Chlamydomonas reinhardtii: one gene and its partners. The protein of the gene in region 1 binds, or shares a complex with, the protein of each later gene. Links are inferred from orthologs where the notes say so. Each region holds a gene or a part of one and is shown on either strand. Other genes may lie near its edges.

Region 1 (5,142 bases):
CCCGACCCGGCCCACCCCGGCCCCAACCACGACCCCGACGCCGCTGCTCCGGCCCCTGCCCCGGCTGCTGCTGTCGGGGGGATGCTGCTAGGCGACCCATTGGCCACTGCCATAGCGCTGGGCCTGGGCGGGTTCGGGACGGGGCCGGAGCTGGTCGCGCCGCGGCTGGGCGGGCCGGAGGATACCGGGTTTGAGTTCGGGACGGGGCCGGAGCTGGGCGCACCAGAGGCCGCCGGGGTCGGGTGCGATGGGCCAGGGCAGGGGGCGGTGCGGAGCCGCGGGGGTGCTGGGGTTGATGCCGGCGACGAGGCGGCGGCGGCGGCGGCGGGTCCCACGGCGTCGGCTGTGGTGCTGGAGTGGCGGCCGGCGCGGTGCAGCGTTGTTCTGCAAGGTGCGCCTGACAGTTATCAGCTTGATGGACCGGGCGAAAAGAGCACAATGGAGGGCAACACGCGCATGCCTGCTGCGGGTTGTGGCTCAAAGACCTGAACGGTTGTGTGCCCAACTGCGAATCCACGTCAGTAGTTACTGTCTGTCCGGCTCAACGCGCTCCTGCCCTGGTCACACACCCACACTCCCACAGGCGAGCGGCGGGGCATGAGCCTGCTGCGGCCGGTGGCGGTGGCGGGGCCGGTGGCGGTGGCGGGGCCGGTGGCGGTGGCGGTGGCGGTGGCGGGGCCGGTGGCGGTGGCGGTGGCGGTGGCGGAGGCGGCGGCAGCGGCCGCATCAACGGCGGCGGCTAGCGTGGGCGGCGGTCGGAGAGGGGAAGCAGCCGGGGCAGTGAGGAGGGAGGGGGAGGAAGGGGCGCTGGTGGCGGTGGCGAGCCGTCTGGATGTGGGGGCGGTGACACGGTTGGTGTTGGCGGCGGCGGGCGTGGAGTGACGACGCAGGAGGCTGGGATTGGAGGGCACGGTACCCATGGCAGCGTTTGTGTGGTGGCTTCTGGACGGAGGGGAAGGGGGCTGTGCTCATGAGGCATGAGGACAAAGCAACAAGAGAACACGTGGCAAAGGCAGGAGCTGAGGAGCCTCAGGGGGCGGGGCAGCTGACGGCGGGTCGGCTGGGCAGTCCAGAGAGGTGCTGTCAGTGGTGTGTGGGCGCTGTGTGCTTTCCGTGATTGCGGCACGCCGGAAGCCGGCAACATGAGTACATGCGTATTGCGTAATGCGGTACGAAGTACCAAATCCAGGCATGTCACTGCCCCGAGAGACCTGTCGTCATCGCCGCCGCCGCTGCCACGCCCGCTGCCCTGCACTGCTCGTGCCTCTTCCTTCTTGACAGAGAGCCACGCACCGTGTGCAGGGGGGGGGGCGCCCTTTTAGCCTCGTGGCCTCGTGGTTGTATGGGGCGACGCTTGGAGCCCTCGGCGTTCGGGGTCCCTGGGCCGGGGATTGTAGGGACCCCCACATCGGGTCACCAGCAGTGGCGGGTGGGCGGACACAGCAGGCCTTCCTCGCTGTTCCTCGCAGCCTCGCTGTTCCTCCTGCAGGCGGCGCTGTTGCGACGGGAGGAAATGACGAAGGTGGTGCAAGCATAAGTAGCACGGCCGGGGCATAGGAATGCTGGCGGCAGCGCTCGCAGAACAACGAGTCGCGCCGCAGTGGGCCACAGCGCAGCAGATGATGAAGTCAGACCTGGGGCCAACGCACGCGGCGAAGGCAGCGGCGAAGGCAGCCGAACGCGCAGCCGAACGCCCAGCCGGGCTGGCGGGCTGCGAGGTGCAGCGGAGAGCGAAGATAACAGCAGCTGCAGTGGAGTGTCGTCCTCGCGCTGCTTACTGTGCTGAGGGTGGCAGGGGTGTGGTGGGGGCGATGGAGGTTGCCACCGGGCAGGCGCAGGGGAGGCGTGCCACCGTGCCAGGACGACCTTGGTGCATTTAACACGCACATAATTGAATTAACTAGCAGTGGTTTCTGTGCAGTCTGTAGCAGCCCAGGGCTCAGGGAGCAGACAGACCATCATTCCGCGCGCGCTGCATCGCAGCCCCTCCACCAGAAGCCGCTTCCCCTGAACCGGCACCCGTCCTTTCCTACTTGTTAGGATACATTTGCGGCAAAGTCCGCACTTGCATTTATCACAACAGTCTCTTTTCGCGCCGCCGACTAGATCGAAAAATGGTAGGACGTTTCGCTCTTCCCCTCGGCGCTGCCTTTTGCTGATCTGGAGTTTCTTTTTCTCTGCAGTCTAAGTTCTGGGGCCGCGGCGAGAGCGAGGATGAGGAGGAGGAGACCACTGAGGAGGAGAGCAGCGAGGAGGAGGGCAAGAGCTCCTCCTCCGGCGACAGCTCCTCGTCGGACTCTGACAGCGACTCGGACTCTGACTCCGACTCGGACTCGGACTCCGACTCCGACGACGACGGGCCCAACAAGTGAGCACATCGCAGCCGCCGAGGTGCCCTGCGCGTGCATCGCCCAGCGCTCACCGTTTTTGTGTTTATGCTATGATTTCAGGTTCTTGGCTGGGTCCAGCGACTCGGATTCGGACAATGATCGCCGCGTGGTGAAGAGCGAGAAGGACAAGCGCATGGGCGAGCTCGCGCAAACCGCTGAGGACATCCGGGTGAGGCCTGGAGCTTCGACTGGAAATGTGCAGAGCGATGGGGTGGCCACGGGGCGCCGGGGAACGATCGACGGTGTGGCGGGAGAGATGCGGCAAGGCTTTTTTGCGCGAAAACCGGCGTTCTGAGCGTCTATCACGCTGCGGCTGCATTCCTATTGTGTATTTACAGAACAAGATGAAGATCAACGACTGGAGCGCTATCCAGGAGCTGTTCGACACGCTGAACGCGCGCCTTGACAAGACGCGCAAGTTCCTGTCTGGGCCGATGCTGCCGCGCGTGTACCTGAAGCTGCTGGTTGACCTGGAGGATTACCTGAATGATACTCTGGCGAACAAGGAGCTGGTGAAGAAGAAGATGTCGTCCACGAACGCGAAGGCGCTGAACACCATGAAGCAGCGCCTGAAGAAGCACAACACGCCCCTGCTGGAGCAGCTCAACAAGGTCGGCCGGGGGTCAGCAATGGAAAGATAGGGGGGAAGCGCACGCAGAGCGGCAGCGGGCTGCGGGGGTCCGGGCCACCGTGTGCGGGAGGAGGATGCGTGCCTCAGACTCTGCAACACCCCATTAAATGCTGCGAAACGCCTGCGCATGCCACAGGTCCGCGAGAACCCCGACGAGGAGGACGAGGTGTCGGAGGCGGACAGCAGCAGCAGCGAGAGCGGCAGCGACGACGAGCGCGACGCCGAGGAGCGCAAGCAGGTGCGCTTGCATTTGTGTTTCGTGTACCGTGTGTCTGCCTGGACATGTGCTGCCAACTGCTACTCTGTTCGTCACTGCCATCGTCTGACTAACCATATGCCTGGAACCCTTCCCCCCGCTACTGCTAACCCCCACGCGCTCCCCCTCCATACGCAACCCTGGCCTTCCATAACAATAGGGCGCCCTGGCCGCCAAGGCCAAGGACAAGCTGCTGACCATGGACCCCAAGGAGATCACCTACGAGATGGTGGCGCGCAAGATGAGGGAGATCGTCATGGCCAGGTAGAGGAGGCGGACGGGGGAGGGCGGGCTGGGCGGAGGAGGGGGAGGGCGTAGGCGGGACGGGGAACGGCGGCACGTACGGGCTGGCAGAGACGTGGAGCTCCGAGATTGGTGGCAACGCTGGGATCCCATCAGCTGACGGCGAAGGAGCGCGGAGAGCTACCCGCTTGCACAGCAGCAGCGGCAGCGGGAGCTGCGTCAGCGGCAGCGGCAGCAGCAACGGCAGCAATGGCGCCAGCAGCAGCAGCAGCAACAGCAGCGACGGTATTGCCGCATTGTGTGACTGCAAGCTGAGGGCGGGCTCTACTGCGACGCGGCTCGCGGAGGGGGCTTTGGCCAGGGGTTATGGCTGGGGGTTACGGAGGCGCCCGATTGCCACCGTGGCTGTGTGCTGCGGCTGTGGCGGCGCCGCTGCCAGGCAGCGGCGGGCGGCGCCGCGCTGGCGGCAGGAGGGACTTGGGGGGCGGGAGAGCACCGGGCGCACCAGCGGCGGCAGTGGCGCGGCTGGCACGGCGGCGTATGGCTTGGCGTGGGCTGGCGCGCTGGCATGCCCGCCTGCGCGGCAAGGTGCGCTACGGTGCAGCAGCAGCTGTTGCTGCTACGGCCTGGCCCTCCGCCACAGCGGCTGCGGCGGCGCCTCCACCTACAGTGCCGGGAGGAAGGGAGGGAGGTGCTGGACTGCAAGCCGCCGCCTGCAGCGCCGCCGCCTCCGCAGCCGCCGCCACAGCAGCAGCAGACAGGCAGGGGCACTGCATGGCGGCGCTGGAGTAGCAGTGGACGCACTGGACAAGGAGCCAGGCGCAGCTGCAGGGGGGCGGGGCAGGCCCGGCCGCTCCCGCCGCACAGTCCGTCGGTCCAGCGGGAAGAGGGGGGCGGGCATTTATGGAGGAGGCGGGCGGCTCCCCTGGCGCGCGGCTCGGCACGCGGCGGCGTCGCGGCGGCGTCGCGGCGGCGTCGCGGCAGCGGCGACTGCCGGCTGCAGCGTTGCTGGCAGTGCTGGCAGTGACAGAGGGGGGCGGCGGCAGCTGTTGCGGACACGTTCCCTGCAGCAGCAGTAACATCAGCAGCAGGGATAGCAGTAGCAGTTGCAGCAGTCGAAGCGCGGTCGGCGGCTGGCAGCGTCGCTGGCGCGTGTGCCGTGGCTTTCTCGCGGCGGTCTGGGCGGCGCGGCGCTGGTTCCGGCTGTGCTGACGTACCGGCCTGTTCACAGCGGGCACCCGTGGCACTCATCACGCACTCGTCACACATCCCCGCCACATCCCCCCACTTCCTTAACTAATCATGAATGTAACCCCACACACACACCAACGCACGCACCTTGTTCCTACCCCACCTCAGGGGCCGCCGCGGCACCGACAAGCAGGAGGCGGTGGAGATGCTGACCTACCTGGCCACCGTGGCGCGCGGCGCGGCGCAGAAGTTCGAGGTGAGGGTGGTGAAAGCGAATGGGAGGAGTGGAGGGAGGAGGGCATGTGGTTGCCGTTTGTTTGTTATGTGGTTTTAATGGGGCCCAGTTGCAAGGCGTGGCGCTTTGAGGGGTGGCAGGGGGGTGGGTTGGAAAGCAGGGCGCCGCCTTGCATAAACGACTCCTGCCACTGCCA
Region 2 (4,927 bases), on another chromosome or scaffold:
CGGGCTGCGCAGCCAGCGCTGTCTACTGCAGGCACAGAGCCTAGCGCCACAGCACCGCACCAGCAAGATTTCGCACGCAGCAGCTTCTTCGACAGCCCGGACGCCCGCGGCCAGGACGGCGCCATCACTAGCAGGCCGCTGCCGCTCCCGCGTGCCGGGCTAGGCGCCTCCGCGCAAGCGCCACCGCACGGCCACGCCGCGCCGGGCCAGCCGCCGCGGTTGTCGTTTCCTCCCGTGCGACCCGAGCCCCTCAGCCGGGCGCCGGACACGTCGGCCCTGTCGCACCTGTCGCCCGACGACACGTCTCTGGGCGCCATGAAGGAGCGGGCGCAGCTGGCGCTGCGCGGCGCAGCGGCAGCCAGTGAGGCGTCGCAGCGCGCAGCAGCCTACGCAGCGGCGGCCAGCAGCGCCGCGTCGCGCGCGGCAGAGGCGGCAGAGCGGGCGGCGGCAGCAGCCACGGCGGCGCAGGTGTGCAATGGCTGTGGTTTGACGAGCGTATGAACGCTGATGTGGGCACTTGCGCTTTGGGCGGGTAGCTGACGTTTGCTTTCCCTTGTGCCGTGACTTCAGGCTGGCCTGGAGAGCGCGGCGGAGAGCGCTATTGTGGCTGCGGAAGCGCGCGTGGCCCAGGCGTCCGAGGCGGCTAAGGAGGCGGAGGAGCGGGCGGCCAGCGCGGCGGCGCACGCGACCGCGTACCAGGACATGTCGCAATCGCAGGTGGGCAGGGTACGGAAGGTGTCTGCATCAGAGAGTACCGATATCTGGGCCAAGCAAGCAAACGGCGCAAAGGACGCGAAACAAATTCTACGTTACACAATACACGCGCATGCATACTGCGCACTCTTGGCACTCCTGTGGGTGCCTCCAAGCTAAGCGCCTCTAACCCCATCTCTTCACACAGGCCGACATTGCCGAGCGCGCTGCATCCATCGCCAAGCGGCCGCCGCCCGGCCCGCTGGACCAGCTGCAGCGCCTGTGGCGCAGCGTCACTGGGCAGCCGGCGCACAACAGCCCGCAGCGAAGCAGCGGCAGCAACATCCCGTCCGCAGGCGCGCCGCGCCCCGGCACCGGCGGCTCGGCTCCTACAGGCGGCAGCGAGTCTGGCGGTGCCAGCGGCCCTGGCGCGGGGGGCAGCGGCGGTGGCTCGCGCAGTGCAAGCGTCGCCGCTGCGGAGAACCTAGGCAGCACCGTCAAGGGGCTGCTGTCGTGGCTTGGCCAAGGCGATGGCTCCCGTTAAGCTCGCTACACGCCACCAGCAGCTGGCTACATAAGCGCCGTGTACTATTCCAGCTAGCCTCCTTTGTAATGGGGTGCCATACCGCCGAACAAAGTCAGTACAGTAACGCCTTCTGCGATGCCTTCGCATGCGTGTGCGGACCGCCCCAAGGCGGGGCACGGCTTCTCAACGAATGCCCTTCACGCACTCAAGTCTACAACCCGATGGGCATACCGGGATCCAACGGTCTTCTATCTAATGCCTAGAAGAGTCTGACAGTAATGGTTGTGTGTCATGCTGTCATGGTCGTGTCGTCAAGTAATTTCAGTAGTAGCGTTGATTTAAAAGCCCACGGTCACGGCCTTGAGCATGGGCGCCACCTGGTCGAAGCGGATGAGCTCCTGGGTGCGCTTCACGACCGACTGGTTGTCGTCGCTGCGGGCAGAACGCGGGCGTAATACAGGGCAGGAGGGCCATGAATGGCGTGAGCTTGTAGCACTTGGGGTACAACCCCAGTTTTTAGGACAATCTGATACTAGATAAGCACGATATGTAGGTGAGTGTTGATGGAGGAGGAGAGGTTGTTTGCGGGGTGTGCATTTCCAGAGTACAGGTGCGGCAGGATTGGAGGTGGGCAGGTGGACATGGGATGTCGCGGCGCTATCATGCCATGTGGCACAGGAGGCACCAAACATGTTACCATGTTCGATCAGCTGTTTCAGCTCTGCGTGCGCCCACGGTGTGCCCGCGTGCCCCGCTTCCCGGCCCCTCATCCTAGCAATGCCAGCAGACCCCGCCCCCTCCGCAGGCCAGTCCAGAATTCTGCGCCTGTACTCACTTCTTGGGGAGCCCCACCACCTCGCCAGCGGGCGTGTTGACAATGCTCCAGCCAGCCGACTTGCACTTTTCAGACAGCTGTGGTCAGAAGCAAGCAGCCAGCAGGCGCGTTTTTACCCTGATGCTAGCTGATGAGGCGCACTGGCGAAGGGACCTTCAAGCCGGCGTCACAATCTCCCACCCCGCCGTATGCACACAGCTTAACCCTTTCGCTCACGTCCTCAAGCGACGCTCCTCAACGCCTTTCTACCCAACCCAGCCCTGCTTACTGCGCACCATTCACATGTAAACGCACACGGAGACACTGCCGCCACCACGCCCCCCCATAAGAAACTCGTAAGCGCAATGCATCACTCACGTACTGCTCCAGCGTGGCGCCCTCCAGCTTTAGGCAGTCCGCCAGCGTGCGCTTGGTCACGCGGCCGTAGGTGTGCACCAGCGTGTGCGCGATGAAGCCGCGCACCGACTCGTAGAAGCCGGGGACTGCAGCAGAGCAGCAGATAGAGCTGGTTTAATTGGCATTCGTGACGTGTGGCAATCGGGGCGCCTCTGTTGCCTCTGATTCCGCATCCGTTGCCTTTAAAAACCCCTGCGTCCTAGCTGAGTGGCTCCCACTCCAGCCAGGTCCCCGTGCGCTGCACTTACTGCCGCCCAGCAGGTCGCGGCAGGTGTTGGCCGCGTTCCAGAAGTCGCCGAAGCGGCTGGTCTCCAGCGCGTTTGCGAGCTGCACCACCTTGTACACCGACTCGTCAGACTGCAGCAATGCAGGGTTCGTGCAACGGATGGAGCAATAGTGGAACAGGAGAGGTGTGGAAACAGCCATGAAGGTGCCACAGCATTCCCCGCGTGTCTTGGGCGGCACCCCACGGTGCGGCCCCTAACCCACCCCACCCACCCCCTCCCCCAGGCCCTGACGCTTTAAACGCCATTCCACTGCACTTCGCACACCTGCAGCAGGCGCTCTGGAAGCAGCGTGATGCAGCATTTGTAGTCCTGCGCGGGCGCCTGCATGATCGCCTTGATAAGCACCTTAGCGACAATGGCAGGCTTCACGCTGGCCGGGCTGAACTGGTAGAAGCGCAGCAGCGTAACATTAGCATCCAGGCTCCATGAGCGGTTCGCGACCTGCAGCAGTGCAGGACGCTTTCAGCGCAAATTGCCGCCGCCGAGCATGTGTCGCCGTGCTGGCACCAAGGGGCCAGGGGACTAAACGGGCTGCTAAGAAATACAGATCTACCTGCTCATCAACATACGCCTCAAGCTGTGGCAGCTTGTCCGGCGAGTAACGATCAGCACCAGTCACGATAAGAGACATTTTAACTGGTATGTAAAGAAAGGAAGTGTCAACGTAAAAGAAAACCAAGACAAGTGGATGCTCACCCTGGGATGCGACGCTGCGATGGCCGATGATGGGGCTCCGAAGCGGTAGAATCCACTCTCTAGTCTGTGAAGTGCAACGATACTGCATGAGCTACGAACGTAAAGCTGTATACACGCACTGGGAAACTGATTTCTTGCATAGCGCGCGTCTCGACAGCTCGCCAAGCTCTCTCCCTGCTCCGAACACGCCGCGAACCCCACAATTATCGCGTGCTTTAGGAGAGACTGTCGCGCCTTGAGCGGCTCTGCAGGGGCCGGGCGCTCGAGCGATCAAGAGGAGCGTCGTGCGCCAGCCCCGCCCTTCGCGTCCTGTCACCTTCCACAATGCTCCTCCGGTTGCGGCAGGCGCTGCCGCTGCTGCAGACCTTCAACAGGTGGTCTGCAATAGCACCTATCCCCAGATTCCGCAGCTTCCCCGCTGCCTCGTCTGCCGCTGATAGCGACAGCGCCCTGCCAGCGGTAGACGGTGCCAGCGGCGAGCCGCCCAAGCCCAAACGCACTCGCCGGGCAACCTCCGCGGCCGCCGCCGTGCCCAGCGGCAGCAGCGATGATGTACCAGTGGCAAAGAAGCGGGCTAGCCGCAAGACCGCTGCCACTGACAGCGCGACTGAGGCAGGGCTGGACCCCTCGTCTGGGCCGAGTGAGGACGACGCCGAGGCGGCAGCGGCTGTGCCCAAGAAGCGTGCCTCGTGCCGCAAGGCGCAGGCTGCCGAGCCGGGCGAAGAGGCCGCTGCTTCAGCATCCGGAGTAGCAGAGGTTGGAGGTGATAGCGCAGCTGCAGCAAAGCCAAAAGTTACGCGCACGCGTCGCACTAAGGTAGCAGCCGAGACAGTTGCAGAGGGGGGCCCGGAAGCGGCGGCGGCTCCTGATGGGGAACTGCAGGCGCCCAAGAAGCGCGTATCCAGACGCAAAGCTGCCGTGAAATCATCATCCCAGGAGGATGGAGAGGAGGAGAGCATTACCATACGGAGTGAGTGGGTCTGCGCCCTTGCGCTTGCTCGCCATCAGGTGCTGCCAGCAGCGTTCTACTCTCCACTACTGCGAAGCCCGTTCCTGCACCCTTGTCACCCTTTCCTGCGCCCTGCGCGCCGTCCGTCCTCCTCACTCTCATCTCTCCCCAACGCCCACCCGCTGCCGGACTGCCCCGCGCCCAGGCCTGCCGTACGAGGAGTGCCTCGTGCTACCGCGCCAGGCTGAGGCGCTGCTGGTGGTGCTGGGGCTGCGGCCGCCCGCCTACACACACGAGCCCGCGCCCGAGGGCTCCTCCTCCGCTTCCACCTCCTCCTCCCGACGCGCTTCCGCGCCTGGCACGCCGCTGCGCAACGTGCTGGAGCTGGCGGAGTTTGAGGGGCGGCCCAAGCTGGACCGGTATGCGGAGCCGCTGCTGCTGGCCCAGTACCAGGGGCTGCTGGGTGACAGCCCCGACTACCTGTACGACATGTTCCTGCTGGATGCGGGTGAGAGCGCGGAGGTGTCATGGCCATGGGTGAAAGA
Region 3 (5,130 bases), on another chromosome or scaffold:
CCCTTGAGGGGACGACCGACCCCCCGACGGACAAAACCTTGTTGTTCAGGGGTTAAAACCCCTCCATTTAATACCAAAGTAGTGTCAATCGACTCCTCTTGACGAGCACTACCACTCCGTGCCATCAGCGGTCCTGTTCTTGAGACTTCGGTCACGGGCGGGATCCTATCCATGGAAATCCCCTCGACCCAGACCACCCCGCGCTCAACTCTTTGCCTCGTGACGGTTGGACAATGTGCATCGGCAGCCTTGTTAGACGTGAACTCATGCGCATCAGCGCTTCAGAGCCCAGCTGTGTCAGTGCGCATGTGTTGAATGTGGAGACATGTCCCGACATGTCCACGTCCGGACGCGCAACTTAGCCCTCCCACGCTTGGTTTGTGCTTACTACGTCATAACGTACACATATGAGCCTCGCACTGCTGCGTTTGGCCCCTAGTTCTGCTTGTGGGGCGCTTCCCGAAATCCGCCAGGATGGGCTCCCGAAACCCGACGGACCCCCAGGGACGAGGACCGACCCCCCAACTTTGGCGGCCCAGAACTTCCTCACCAGACGCCCCCTTGAAAAACTAAAAGCACGTGCATAATGCTCTCCTTAAGCTCTGTAATTTTGAGCATGGGGTAAGAAATTGAGCTTTCTACCCCCCCCCTGATTTAAAGGCCGTTTGAAGTGTGGGGTGTGCCTGCGCGATTCTCACCCCTCCCCCCTTGGTTTAGTTCAGGCTAATACCTACAAATCCAATACAAGCAGAAATGGCGTCGGCGCATTGCTCAAAGCCGGCGGCTTTGCCTGCAATGACAGTTGCACTGTGGGGCTGCGCAGGCTGGCGAAGGAGCCGTCAGGGGTGCCACTGGGAGGCGCAGTCCCATGTTCCCGTATTAAGCCACGCACACCGACCTCCCATACCCACCCCACGCATCGCAGTCATGAACGGAGGGCACCACACTTAACATATCTGAGCACGAGAACGCGCGAAGATGCCGTTACGCTTACATACCGACAAGGCAGAGCCTGCCGCGTAGGGAATGTGGGCTGTCTTACTTGTACGTGCGCCCATGTTCGCCCTCGCGAGGAGAGTCAACCGTCACGGACCTTGCCGCGGGTTGCACACAGCGACACCTCACAACTTGCACTCCTGCAGTCCTCCTACAATGTCTGATCGTGTACTGGTTACGTCCACCCTCTTAGAGCAACAACACTCTGCACTCGTCATGTCTGCCTATGCGCCGCTAGCTGGCGCGCTCAAAACAGCGCAAGCTGTGTGTGCTTCAACGCGGCCATACCACAAACGCCCCACCCAATCCCATCCCGCCCTTTGTCCCTCAAACTGAGCACCTAATAACTAATGCCACTGGTAGGTGTGCTCGGTAGAGCAGTTGCACCAGACAGCGCCTTCCGCCTTCAAACCACTACAGTCCCACAGCACACACTACGCGCTTCATGTTTGGCCCCTGCAAGCACAGCCTCTGCGACAGCACCCATCATAAGCGGTGCCATCCTCCTGCATCCCGTGTCTGCATCCCGTGGTCATGGGTCTGTACAGCCGAGCCCGCAGCCCCAGCAAGCGCCTGCTCTTCCGCTCGCAGGTCCTCGAGCTTACAACCCCGCCTTCTGCATGCCCTCCATCAGGAACAGCTTTTGAATGGTCTCGCCCGCCGCCACGTTGACCTGGTCGCAGTAGGTGGCGATCTGGTTGGTCACCAGGTAGTTATCCAGCATGGATGGCTCGGGAATGGGCTTGAACAGATTTGGGTCCTCCTCCGGCAGCGGCTCCTGGTTGTCAGCCTGCCGCTGCTGGTTCTCCTGCCGCCGCTTGGCCAGCCACACCGCGTACGCCTGCTGCTGGCGCGCCACGTTCTTGTGGTACATGGTCACCTTCTGCTGCTCCGCCACAATGTCGTCCACGCACTCCAGCAACGACTGGATGTTGCGCTCCAGGAAGGGGGCCGAGGACAGGTTGAGTCGCTCCACGTCCGCCTGGGTCGCGGTGGGGGCGGGCATCAGGTCCGCCACCAGCGCCTGCACCAGGTTGCTGTTGCGGATGCGGATGGGCAGCTCCACGAAGATATCACGCCACGACAGGTTGGCCTCGCGAAAGCCCTTGAGCGTCAGCTTCTGCTCCTTGCTCAGCTCAATGAACGACTCCTTGAGGCGGATCGCCTTGAGCGCGATGCTGCCGCGCGATGAGCGCTGGGGGTCATAGATGATGCACACGCACTTTTTGATGTTCTCGTGGTAGTTGATGAACGTCTCTATGAGCTCCACGGTTTGGAAGGTGCCCATGTTGGCCGACTGGTACCTGTGGGGTGCGGCCCGGCAGGTGCACGGTTCGTAGGCAAGCGCATGGTGCGCAGTCGGGTCCAGCCCTGAAGATGCTCGGCGGCTGCTACCCCGAGGTTCTGCTTGCGGTACTGTCGCGGGTGGCTGATGGCCATGTCGCCCCCAGGCCAGTCTCGAGCCCCGCCAACGGCCGAACGGGCCTCGTGTCCGCAGGCAAGGACTCTGACAGGCGGTTCATACACGGTGGTTGCCGCAGCTAGCGTGCCGCTCATGTAGTGCGCACATGCCCTTGTCCGCTGATGTCCCGGCGGCTAGCATGAGTGCTACGGTACCGTCCCGCCTTGGGGCGCTTCCCAAGGGCGCTTCCCCACGTCAACTCCCCCTCCTCTGCTTTTGCACCTGACTCCTTCCCTCTCCTTTCCCCCGCGAGCTCGCGCATTGACTGCACCCACCAGCCGACGGTGTTGTTGTCCACGTTCACCTCACGCAGGCAGCGCATCATCTCCAGCTGGTAGTTGGCGCCGGCCGACTCTGCCTCGGAGTCATCGTCCGCCACGGTAGCCTGCACACACCCGGCCCACACCATCGCCGATCTTTATTGTGCATATGCATATGCTGATACACGCGACTTTCCCCTGCTATGCGTGCTCGACAACGCGAGCAATCTGGGGGCCGCCCAAAAGTCCGCTTGGCGCCCTCAGCGCCTGCTATCCTCAGCGCTCACCGGGAACGCGAAGCAGTCCGTCACCTCCAGCTGTTGACCAACATCCAGGCCCAGCAGCTGGCCGGTAACGTTCTGGGGCAGCGCCTCAGTGCAATGCTGGATAATCTTCAGCAGCACCTGACCCTCAAGCTGCACCGTCTTCACGAGCTCCTTATGCGGCTTAGGAGCGATGGCCTCCATTTTTCAGCGCCTCTGCAATAAACCAGCGGCCTAAGTCGGCGGCGCCGTGCCTATAAGCAAAGCCTGTTTTTCAAAAGCTAAACACAAGAGTAAACGATACGACTACACGATGTCTACAGTGATCAGGGTGTGTTTGGCTGCAATGCGGGGCCCGATCGCACTTCCATTTGCAATGCAATTTCTCTCAGACCTGAAATGTCAGTTTGCTGCTGTACTTTTCGCGCTTGTACCTTCGTGCTTATGCTGAACAACAACGAGTAGCATCACCTGTGTTTCGAACTAGGATCGTCGCAACAGTCGCCAAAAGCTTGCGCGTTGACGAGGGCGGCTAGGCCTCAAAGTATACTTGGCAGTATGGCGCGCTTGCGCGCGAGCTTGCTGATGGCAGCGCTGCTCGGAAGCGCTGTAGCCCTCGTAGCATCGGAGCGAGTCTTGCTGGGCAGCGACCATAAATTCAAGCCCGGAAGTGACATCATGCTGTATGCAAACAAAGTCGGACCCTTTCAAAACCCGACGTGAGTAGTTTTGCTGCAGCCAGCGGTGCCAGCTCGCGCGCCAACGCGGCGCGATTTTCGCTCCTTGCCTTGCAGGGAAACGTACCAGTATTACAACTTGCCGTTCTGCCAGCCCACTGACGGCAAGGAGTATAAGACGGAATTCCTAGGCGAGGTGCTTGAGGGCGACCGGTTGGTGACAACTCCCTACAAGCTGCAGTTCCGCACCGATGTTGAGAACGCGGTGCTCTGCAAACGCACGCTCACTGCTGGTGACTTAAAGAAGTTCAGGGATGCCGTGAAGCAGGACTACTACTTCCAGGTGCGGCGGGTTGACACGACTGGGACCAGCGGGTGTGCGGGCGCGTGTACCCCAGGACGTGTCCGTCCCGGCCCGGTGCACGCTGCCAGCAACTCCCGGCCTGTACTCGTCGCTGACACCCCATGCGCCGGTCAACACCTCTATTGCGTGTTTGCCCTCATTCGCAGTTTGCCCGCATGTTGGGTTACCGTGTGCATGTTGGGCCTTGCCACCCTGCACACCTGCCCCGCAACCTGTCGCACATACCAGAAGAGGATAGTTCCTGGTGCGCGCCAAAGCACAACAGCGGCTTGACCCGTCATATGCCCCGTCTACCCCAAGAAGTTGCCTTTAGGTTCTCTTTGCGTGCTCCTGTGCGTGCTCCTGTGCGTGCTCCTGTTGAGCGTCGCTTAGGTACTTATCTCTGACCCCGCGGCTCTGACCCCAGATGTTTTACGACGACCTGCCTGTGTGGGGCTTCATCGGCAAGGTGGAGAAGATTGTGCAGCAGGGTACGCACAAGTACTTCCTCTTTACCCACTTCCACTTCGACCTGTCCTACAACGACGACCGTATCATCGAGATCAACGTGTCCAGCGACCCCATGCGCACAGTGGACATCACGACCGCAGACACGCTGGACGTGCAGTTCTCCTATTCGGTCAAATGGAAGCAGTCGTCAGTCACCTTTGACCACCGCATGGACCGCTACGCCCGCTACTCGTTCCTGCCTCAGCATCTTGAGGTTAGTTCAAGCGTGGGGCGGAGTATGTGTTGGGCATGCGCTGCATTGGGGACTCCGTTCAGCGGGCGGAGTGCACTCAATGCATCTGCATGCCGCACAAGCAAAACGCAGTAGCTGATGTTGGGGAGCCACATGAACTGGATGGACAGAGTTTGCTGAGCGAGTTTCAGTGCTGGCGGTACAAGCATTCAGTGCCGAACATTGAACTCCAACGGACGCTGACGCTGCGTCCTCCCCGTCCTTACAGATCCACTGGTTCTCCATCATCAACTCGTGCGTGACGGTGCTGCTGCTGACCGGCTTTCTTGCCACCATCCTGCTCCGCGTGCTGAAGAACGATTTCATGAAGTACACGCGCGACGACGAGATGGCCGAGGAGCAGGAGGAGACCGGCTGGAAGTACCT
Region 4 (5,114 bases), on another chromosome or scaffold:
GCCAGTCCTCATGTAACAACGTGTCGCAGCACAAACGGGCGCTGGCCCCAGCCCCGGCGGCAACGAACCAAAACCGGGCGCAGCACCTGCCTTGCATCACATGCCTCACTCCACTGCACTAGTGCATCTAGCCTGCTACAGTTTTGCAGAGGCTACTCTTGCCTCTATGGTGATGCCATCATACGCACATAATCCAGTTCTACCCGCTAGATACCCCATTCGTCTCATCCATGTCTACCCGCTAACACCCGAATTGCAAGAAAGCGAAAATGCCTGCCTGCGCTTGCGAAATTCTGTCCCGACCCCTATTCCCCCGAATGGTCCTCTTAGGTCTAGCCCGAATCCTACGTAGTTTCAGTCTCGTTGGCACAGCGTTCACACCTACATCCACAGCCCGTGTGCGGACTGCCGCACTGCCACACTGCCTGCATACACGAGAACCTATCTGCTCCTCACTACGCCAACGCCGATTGCCCCCACGCCGGTCCACGCTCAGGCTTATCCAAAGCATGTGCCCGTCCAGGTACACTCTGCAGCCACCAGCAGCGGGCAATGCCGACCCTAGCCCCAGGAAATCCATTGCCTGCAGCGCACCAGCCCGACGGGAACGCGAATGCACCGCCTCCCTAGCACGAGACAGCCCATCCAATGAGCTCACCCGAACAAGCGTTGCCGAGTCCGTGCCAGCCGCGGCTGCACAGCCCCCCGGCACGCGCTGCTGCTGGCGCGCGCGAACACACTGCCAAGGGGGCGACCCCCCCGTCTCACGTCGCTGAACAAGCATGCCCTTGCGCCCCGCCCATGGGATAATCGTGCAGCTGCTGCAAATTCCAGCCGCCGCGCTCCTACCGCCCTTCACTGTATTGCAAAGCCGCTGTCGCCCGTCTACGTCACTGCTCATCTCATCAGCACCTTCGAACGCCGCTCGCCAGCGCTGTCCCACACCCGCTGCCGCGCCCTCCGCCCAGCGCTCCTGGTCTGATCCGTGCAGCAGCCGTCGCCAGCGCTCCCACGCTTGCTGCTGTAGAAAGCTGCCCATCCCGCAACGGAATCCCGTAACTCAAAGCTCGCTGCTGTCGTGAATCGCCTGCCGAAGCGGCAGACCGCGCCCTGCACACCGCTGTCGTCCACAAGCAAGCCCGCAATCTACAAGGCAAAAGGGAATGATGGATGGCGATCAGAGCTTGAGGTAAAGTGATTCCTCGTCACGTCAACCTTTCGAACCTCTTCGCAGTTCCCAGGGCTTCTTCCGTATCAACCGGCGAATTGTTGCACGTCCGTTACCAGGCCGCGGGTCCCCTTCCTTGCCATGCCGCGTGCGGAGCACCGCTGGAACTGGGCCTAGCAGCCGTCTGCCCAATGCAATTGCTACCCCATCTACCAATCCCTTAGGAATCCAGCACTCTTCACCTCCAGAGCTTGCCTTTCTATTCCACCCCATTCCCGCCAATACCAAGCCCCAGACGACCCCCTGGCCCACATGCATCCCCGCGCCCCCGCCAACCCCATCCCGCCCGCCGCCATGGCTCCAACTCCCACCTGCTTGCTGCTCCTCCTCCCCCGGCTGCTGCTCGCCGCGGTGCCTTACGGCTTGACGCTGCCCACCACGGTGTTGGCCAGCACGTAGGTGCGCACGGACAGCATCTTGGCCTTGTCCACCAGCTGCTCGTGCACGGACTGCGACTGCGTGCCCATCACCACCGTCCCCGACTTGGAGTCAATCTTGGCGTTCAGCTTGGCGTTGAGGATGAGGTTGGCAATCCACTTCTCCGCCGCCTCCTGGTCCATGCCCAGCCGCTCCGCCAGCAGCGCAATGGAGATGGACTGGTGTATCCGGCAGTACGTCTCGAAGATGAACAGGCGCGCGTTCTCAATGAACTCGTCCTTGTAGGCCGCCAGGAAGAAATCGTTGTCCAGCACCGCCTCGCACTCCTTCAGCTTCTGCTGGGCGCCGTCGAAGTCGTAGTGCACGAACACGCACTCCAGGAACTGGGTCACTGGGTCCGAGTACTCGTACGACTCCTGCTGGATGGCGCGGATGAGCTCCTTCAGCACGCTGCGCTGCTTCTTCTTGTTGATGACCACAGCCACCGCCACGTAGCGCAGCAGGTGCGGCGCGTTGATCTGGATGGCGGAGATGTAGGCTGGGGAGAGGAACAGGTCAATGATGTCGTTGCGGCCGTTCTCATGGTTCCAGAAGACGTACAGGGACCAGTGCAGCAGCCAGGTGCGCTGCTGCAGCTGCACCAGCGGGGGGGCGAACGTCTGGTTGTCGATGACCTCCTTCAGCTTGAACACGTCCTCCCGTGCCTCCTGGATGTTCACCGCCTCGTGCATGAGGATCTCCGCAGCGAGCTTGCCCCACAGTGCGCTGATGTTGCGCTCGCTGTTGGTGCAGAGCGTGCGGTAAGACTGCAGCAGCTCCGCCGCCAGCGAGTAGTTACCGCAGTTGAACTGGAAGCGCGCGTACTGATACAGCGCCTCGACGTGCTCCGCGCCAATCTGGAACTCCTCCTGGAGGAACTGCAGGTTGAAGCTCTTATCCTGACGGAACTTCTCCACCACATGCCTGTTCTGCAGACACTTGATAATGGGGTCCACGTCCGCCTGCAGCTGGCGAAGACGCGCCACCACCTGGCTGCGGCGGTCCTTCATCTCCGCAGGCACCTCGTCCACGCCGTTTAGGCCCTTGTAGATATCCATCGCAAAATCCACCTACAACATCGAATTTTTCGCTCAGCGACCCGGACTCAAACTGGAAAGGCCGATGGCCTCTGCACTCGCTGAGCTGCCCTTCCCGCTTCCGGCATCCCCAGCCTGTCCAATAGCTCATTCCAAGTGCCAGGTCTCCAGATCTAAACACTAAGCGCGTACCATGTTCGTCTTGTCCAGCAGCGCCAGCTTGGCGCGCAGGATGTCGTCCTCATTGTAAAGGCCGCGCTCTTGGAGGTATTCCATAATAGGCAGCGTAAGGTGCAGGTCCAGATACTGGACCAGCTTGGAAGAAAGCTCATAGTTGGTGGCAGCCATCTTTCTCTCGGCGGCGGCTACGCCCCTTGCCTAGTCCTAAGGCCTGACCAGTCCGCTGTGAAACAATTATGGGGTGGGGGCTGCGGGAATGACAAAGGAACGGGCGATCTACGCCCCGGTGCGCAGCCCGCTCTCGCGCTGTGCCGGATGGGGGTCCGAGTGCCCATCGGCCTGGCCCGCTCAAAACGGGCTTTCGGACTCCGAACTAATACATAAGAGGTTAGGTGTATGTATAGATAGGGCATCGGCACATTTCCCTTTCTCTGTAGGGAAATGACGTGATCTCTATCGCCACACTCTTGCGTTTCTCTGCGCTTGCCTACGCGACTCTGGTGAGGGTTGCGGGAGCCCAGAAACAGCGCAGCCAATCACGAGACAATGGCGGCTCCGTCGGCGGTGGTCCTGCCGCCCTCCCCCAACTGGTAGGCGGAGTCGGGAGTCGGGAGCCAGCGTCCGTGCTTTGCCCACGCCGTTCGCTGCTCCTGTACTCTTGATGCGTTTTGCAAGTGGTGCAAGGGCTAGAGTGTCAGGCCTGTTCAAGCCAGTGCGCCCACGGGCCGCAAACCCGCATTCCGGAAGCAGGGGCCGGGGTCACAGCCGCACGCACTGTCAACCGCCGATTGCGCCGCGCTATGCCACATAGCTCGTAGCCCCTACATGTCAGACCACATCACACCCATTGGTAAGGTCACTGATGCGCCTCACATGCCCACAGGTTCAGCAGCCAGGTGGTGGCGGTGCTGCCGAGCCAGCAGCTGGTGGCGTATGGCGGCCACTACGCGGTGGTGGTGGCCTGCGCGCAGAGCCGCACCGTGCAGCGCATGCTGCCCACGGGCGGGAGCAGGTGCGCACAGCCTTGGGTTGCAAGGTAGTGGGTGGGCAGCGGGTGGGTCGGGATGATTGCGGGCAGCACATGCAATTTGCTGCCTGCGCTCGGCCTGCGTGTTGCTGAAGCCGCGACGCGGCCTTCGCACACATCTGGTGGCGCATGTCCTCACGTGCCAGCAACGTCCTGGCCCTGGCATAGCGAACAGCCACTGTAGTGGAACCCCAACATGCCGCTCAGGACTTGCTCGCAAGCGTGTCCCTGCCGCGGGCCTGTCGTGCAGAGTGACATGTGTGGCGTTGCCGCCTGAGAGCGTCGGTGGTCGCCCGCTGGTGGCGGCGGGCTGCGAAGATGGTTCGCTGAGGTGCTGGGACATGGTCAGCGGGGAGCCGGTGCGCACCCACCGCAAGGGCAAGGCGCCCGAGGTCACAGCGCTGGTGGCTTTGCCCAGGTGGGGCTCATGTCGGTTCGGACACTCGCAGGGTTACGGGGGCTTGCGGTACGGTAACCTTGATGGCCAAGGACTGGTATAGGGGGGCAGTCTGCACTCTGGAGTTTCCGAGGTGGTATGCTCAAGCGTTGGTAGGTATCGCGTGAATGTCCTGTGGTCACCCGGCCCCAACACGGCTCCATTGCCCACACCCTTCCAATGCCGTAGCTCGCCGGTGCTGCAGTTTGTGGCGGGCGATGCCTCCGGCGGCCTGGTGCTGTGGGTGCCCGAGACCGGCGTCCGCAAGCCGCTTACGCGCGCGGGCTCCACGGCGCCACTTCTGCCCAGCCGCGTCCAGTGCCTGGTCGCCGTCAACGTCACCGGCCCCGCCGCCGGGGCCAGCGGCCGCGTGATTGCAGGGCTGGCCGATGGCAGCATCGTGTTGGTGGACGTGGCGTCGGCGTCGGTGCTGCTGACGCTGCCGGCGGCCCACCGCGGTGGTGTGCACAGCCTGCAGCTGGCCGGCCTACCGCTCGTCACCACCGCCGGTGGCGGCGGCAGCAGCAGCGCACCGGCGCCGGGGGCGGTAGAGGAAGCACGAGCGGCACCCACGCCTGGCAGCGCGGCCGGGGAGGACGCGGCCGGTGAGCCGGCAGCGGCTCCAGCTGCTGTTGCTGCTGCGCCCGACCTGTGGATTCTCAGTAGCGGAGAGGACTGCCAGGCCAAGGTGTGGAGCCTCCCCGCCATCTCAGCCGCAGCCGCCCTGTCAGCAGCCGCGGCCGAGGCGGCTGCAGCCGCCGCTGCTGGCGGTGATGGTAGCGCTGCTGC

Evidence for each region.
Region 2: CHLRE_04g217550v5 (region 1) and CHLRE_12g515650v5 share a complex: the UniProt entries of both Arabidopsis thaliana proteins name them as parts of the eukaryotic translation initiation factor 3 (eIF-3) complex. The link is inferred for Chlamydomonas reinhardtii from reciprocal best matches to the Arabidopsis thaliana genes EIF3C and EIF3K.
Region 3: CHLRE_04g217550v5 (region 1) and CHLRE_16g676314v5 share a complex: the UniProt entries of both Arabidopsis thaliana proteins name them as parts of the eukaryotic translation initiation factor 3 (eIF-3) complex. The link is inferred for Chlamydomonas reinhardtii from reciprocal best matches to the Arabidopsis thaliana genes EIF3C and TIF3H1.
Region 4: CHLRE_04g217550v5 (region 1) and CHLRE_12g498100v5 share a complex: the UniProt entries of both Arabidopsis thaliana proteins name them as parts of the eukaryotic translation initiation factor 3 (eIF-3) complex. The link is inferred for Chlamydomonas reinhardtii from reciprocal best matches to the Arabidopsis thaliana genes EIF3C and EIF3E.

What each region holds. Positions count from the first base shown.
Region 1 is NC_057007.1:243,234-248,375, forward strand, and holds the start of CHLRE_04g217550v5 (uncharacterized protein), read left to right. Parts: upstream 1-1,917; 5' UTR 1,918-2,114; coding exon 2,115-2,117; intron 2,118-2,183; coding exon 2,184-2,368; intron 2,369-2,450; coding exon 2,451-2,559; intron 2,560-2,728; coding exon 2,729-3,001; intron 3,002-3,157; coding exon 3,158-3,259; intron 3,260-3,437; coding exon 3,438-3,541; intron 3,542-4,879; coding exon 4,880-4,967; intron 4,968-5,142. Other genes in the region: CHLRE_04g217500v5 (uncharacterized protein), read left to right, coding at 1-391, 584-882. UniProt on the Arabidopsis thaliana protein: Component of the eukaryotic translation initiation factor 3 (eIF-3) complex, which is involved in protein synthesis of a specialized repertoire of mRNAs and, together with other initiation factors, stimulates binding of mRNA and methionyl-tRNAi to the 40S ribosome.
Region 2 is NC_057015.1:3,874,647-3,879,573, forward strand, and holds CHLRE_12g515650v5 (uncharacterized protein), read right to left. Parts: upstream 3,397-4,927; 5' UTR 3,369-3,396; coding exon 3,291-3,368; intron 3,179-3,290; coding exon 3,002-3,178; intron 2,808-3,001; coding exon 2,699-2,807; intron 2,537-2,698; coding exon 2,412-2,536; intron 2,132-2,411; coding exon 2,055-2,131; intron 1,652-2,054; coding exon 1,558-1,651; 3' UTR 902-1,557; downstream 1-901. Other genes in the region: CHLRE_12g515600v5 (uncharacterized protein), read left to right, coding at 1-468, 571-717, 790-873; CHLRE_12g515700v5 (uncharacterized protein), read left to right, coding at 3,758-4,403, 4,588-4,890. UniProt on the Arabidopsis thaliana protein: Component of the eukaryotic translation initiation factor 3 (eIF-3) complex, which is involved in protein synthesis of a specialized repertoire of mRNAs and, together with other initiation factors, stimulates binding of mRNA and methionyl-tRNAi to the 40S ribosome.
Region 3 is NC_057019.1:3,506,966-3,512,095, reverse strand, and holds CHLRE_16g676314v5 (uncharacterized protein), read right to left. Parts: upstream 3,282-5,130; 5' UTR 3,186-3,281; coding exon 3,006-3,185; intron 2,844-3,005; coding exon 2,734-2,843; intron 2,301-2,733; coding exon 1,598-2,300; 3' UTR 979-1,597; downstream 1-978. Other genes in the region: CHLRE_16g675958v5 (uncharacterized protein), read left to right, coding at 3,660-3,700, 3,776-4,001, 4,429-4,725, 4,973-5,130. UniProt on the Arabidopsis thaliana protein: Component of the eukaryotic translation initiation factor 3 (eIF-3) complex, which is involved in protein synthesis of a specialized repertoire of mRNAs and, together with other initiation factors, stimulates binding of mRNA and methionyl-tRNAi to the 40S ribosome.
Region 4 is NC_057015.1:3,278,012-3,283,125, reverse strand, and holds CHLRE_12g498100v5 (uncharacterized protein), read right to left. Parts: upstream 3,108-5,114; 5' UTR 3,031-3,107; coding exon 2,875-3,030; intron 2,716-2,874; coding exon 1,585-2,715; 3' UTR 6-1,584; downstream 1-5. Other genes in the region: CHLRE_12g498150v5 (uncharacterized protein), read left to right, coding at 3,409-3,452, 3,746-3,874, 4,140-4,307, 4,515-5,114. UniProt on the Arabidopsis thaliana protein: Component of the eukaryotic translation initiation factor 3 (eIF-3) complex, which is involved in protein synthesis of a specialized repertoire of mRNAs and, together with other initiation factors, stimulates binding of mRNA and methionyl-tRNAi to the 40S ribosome.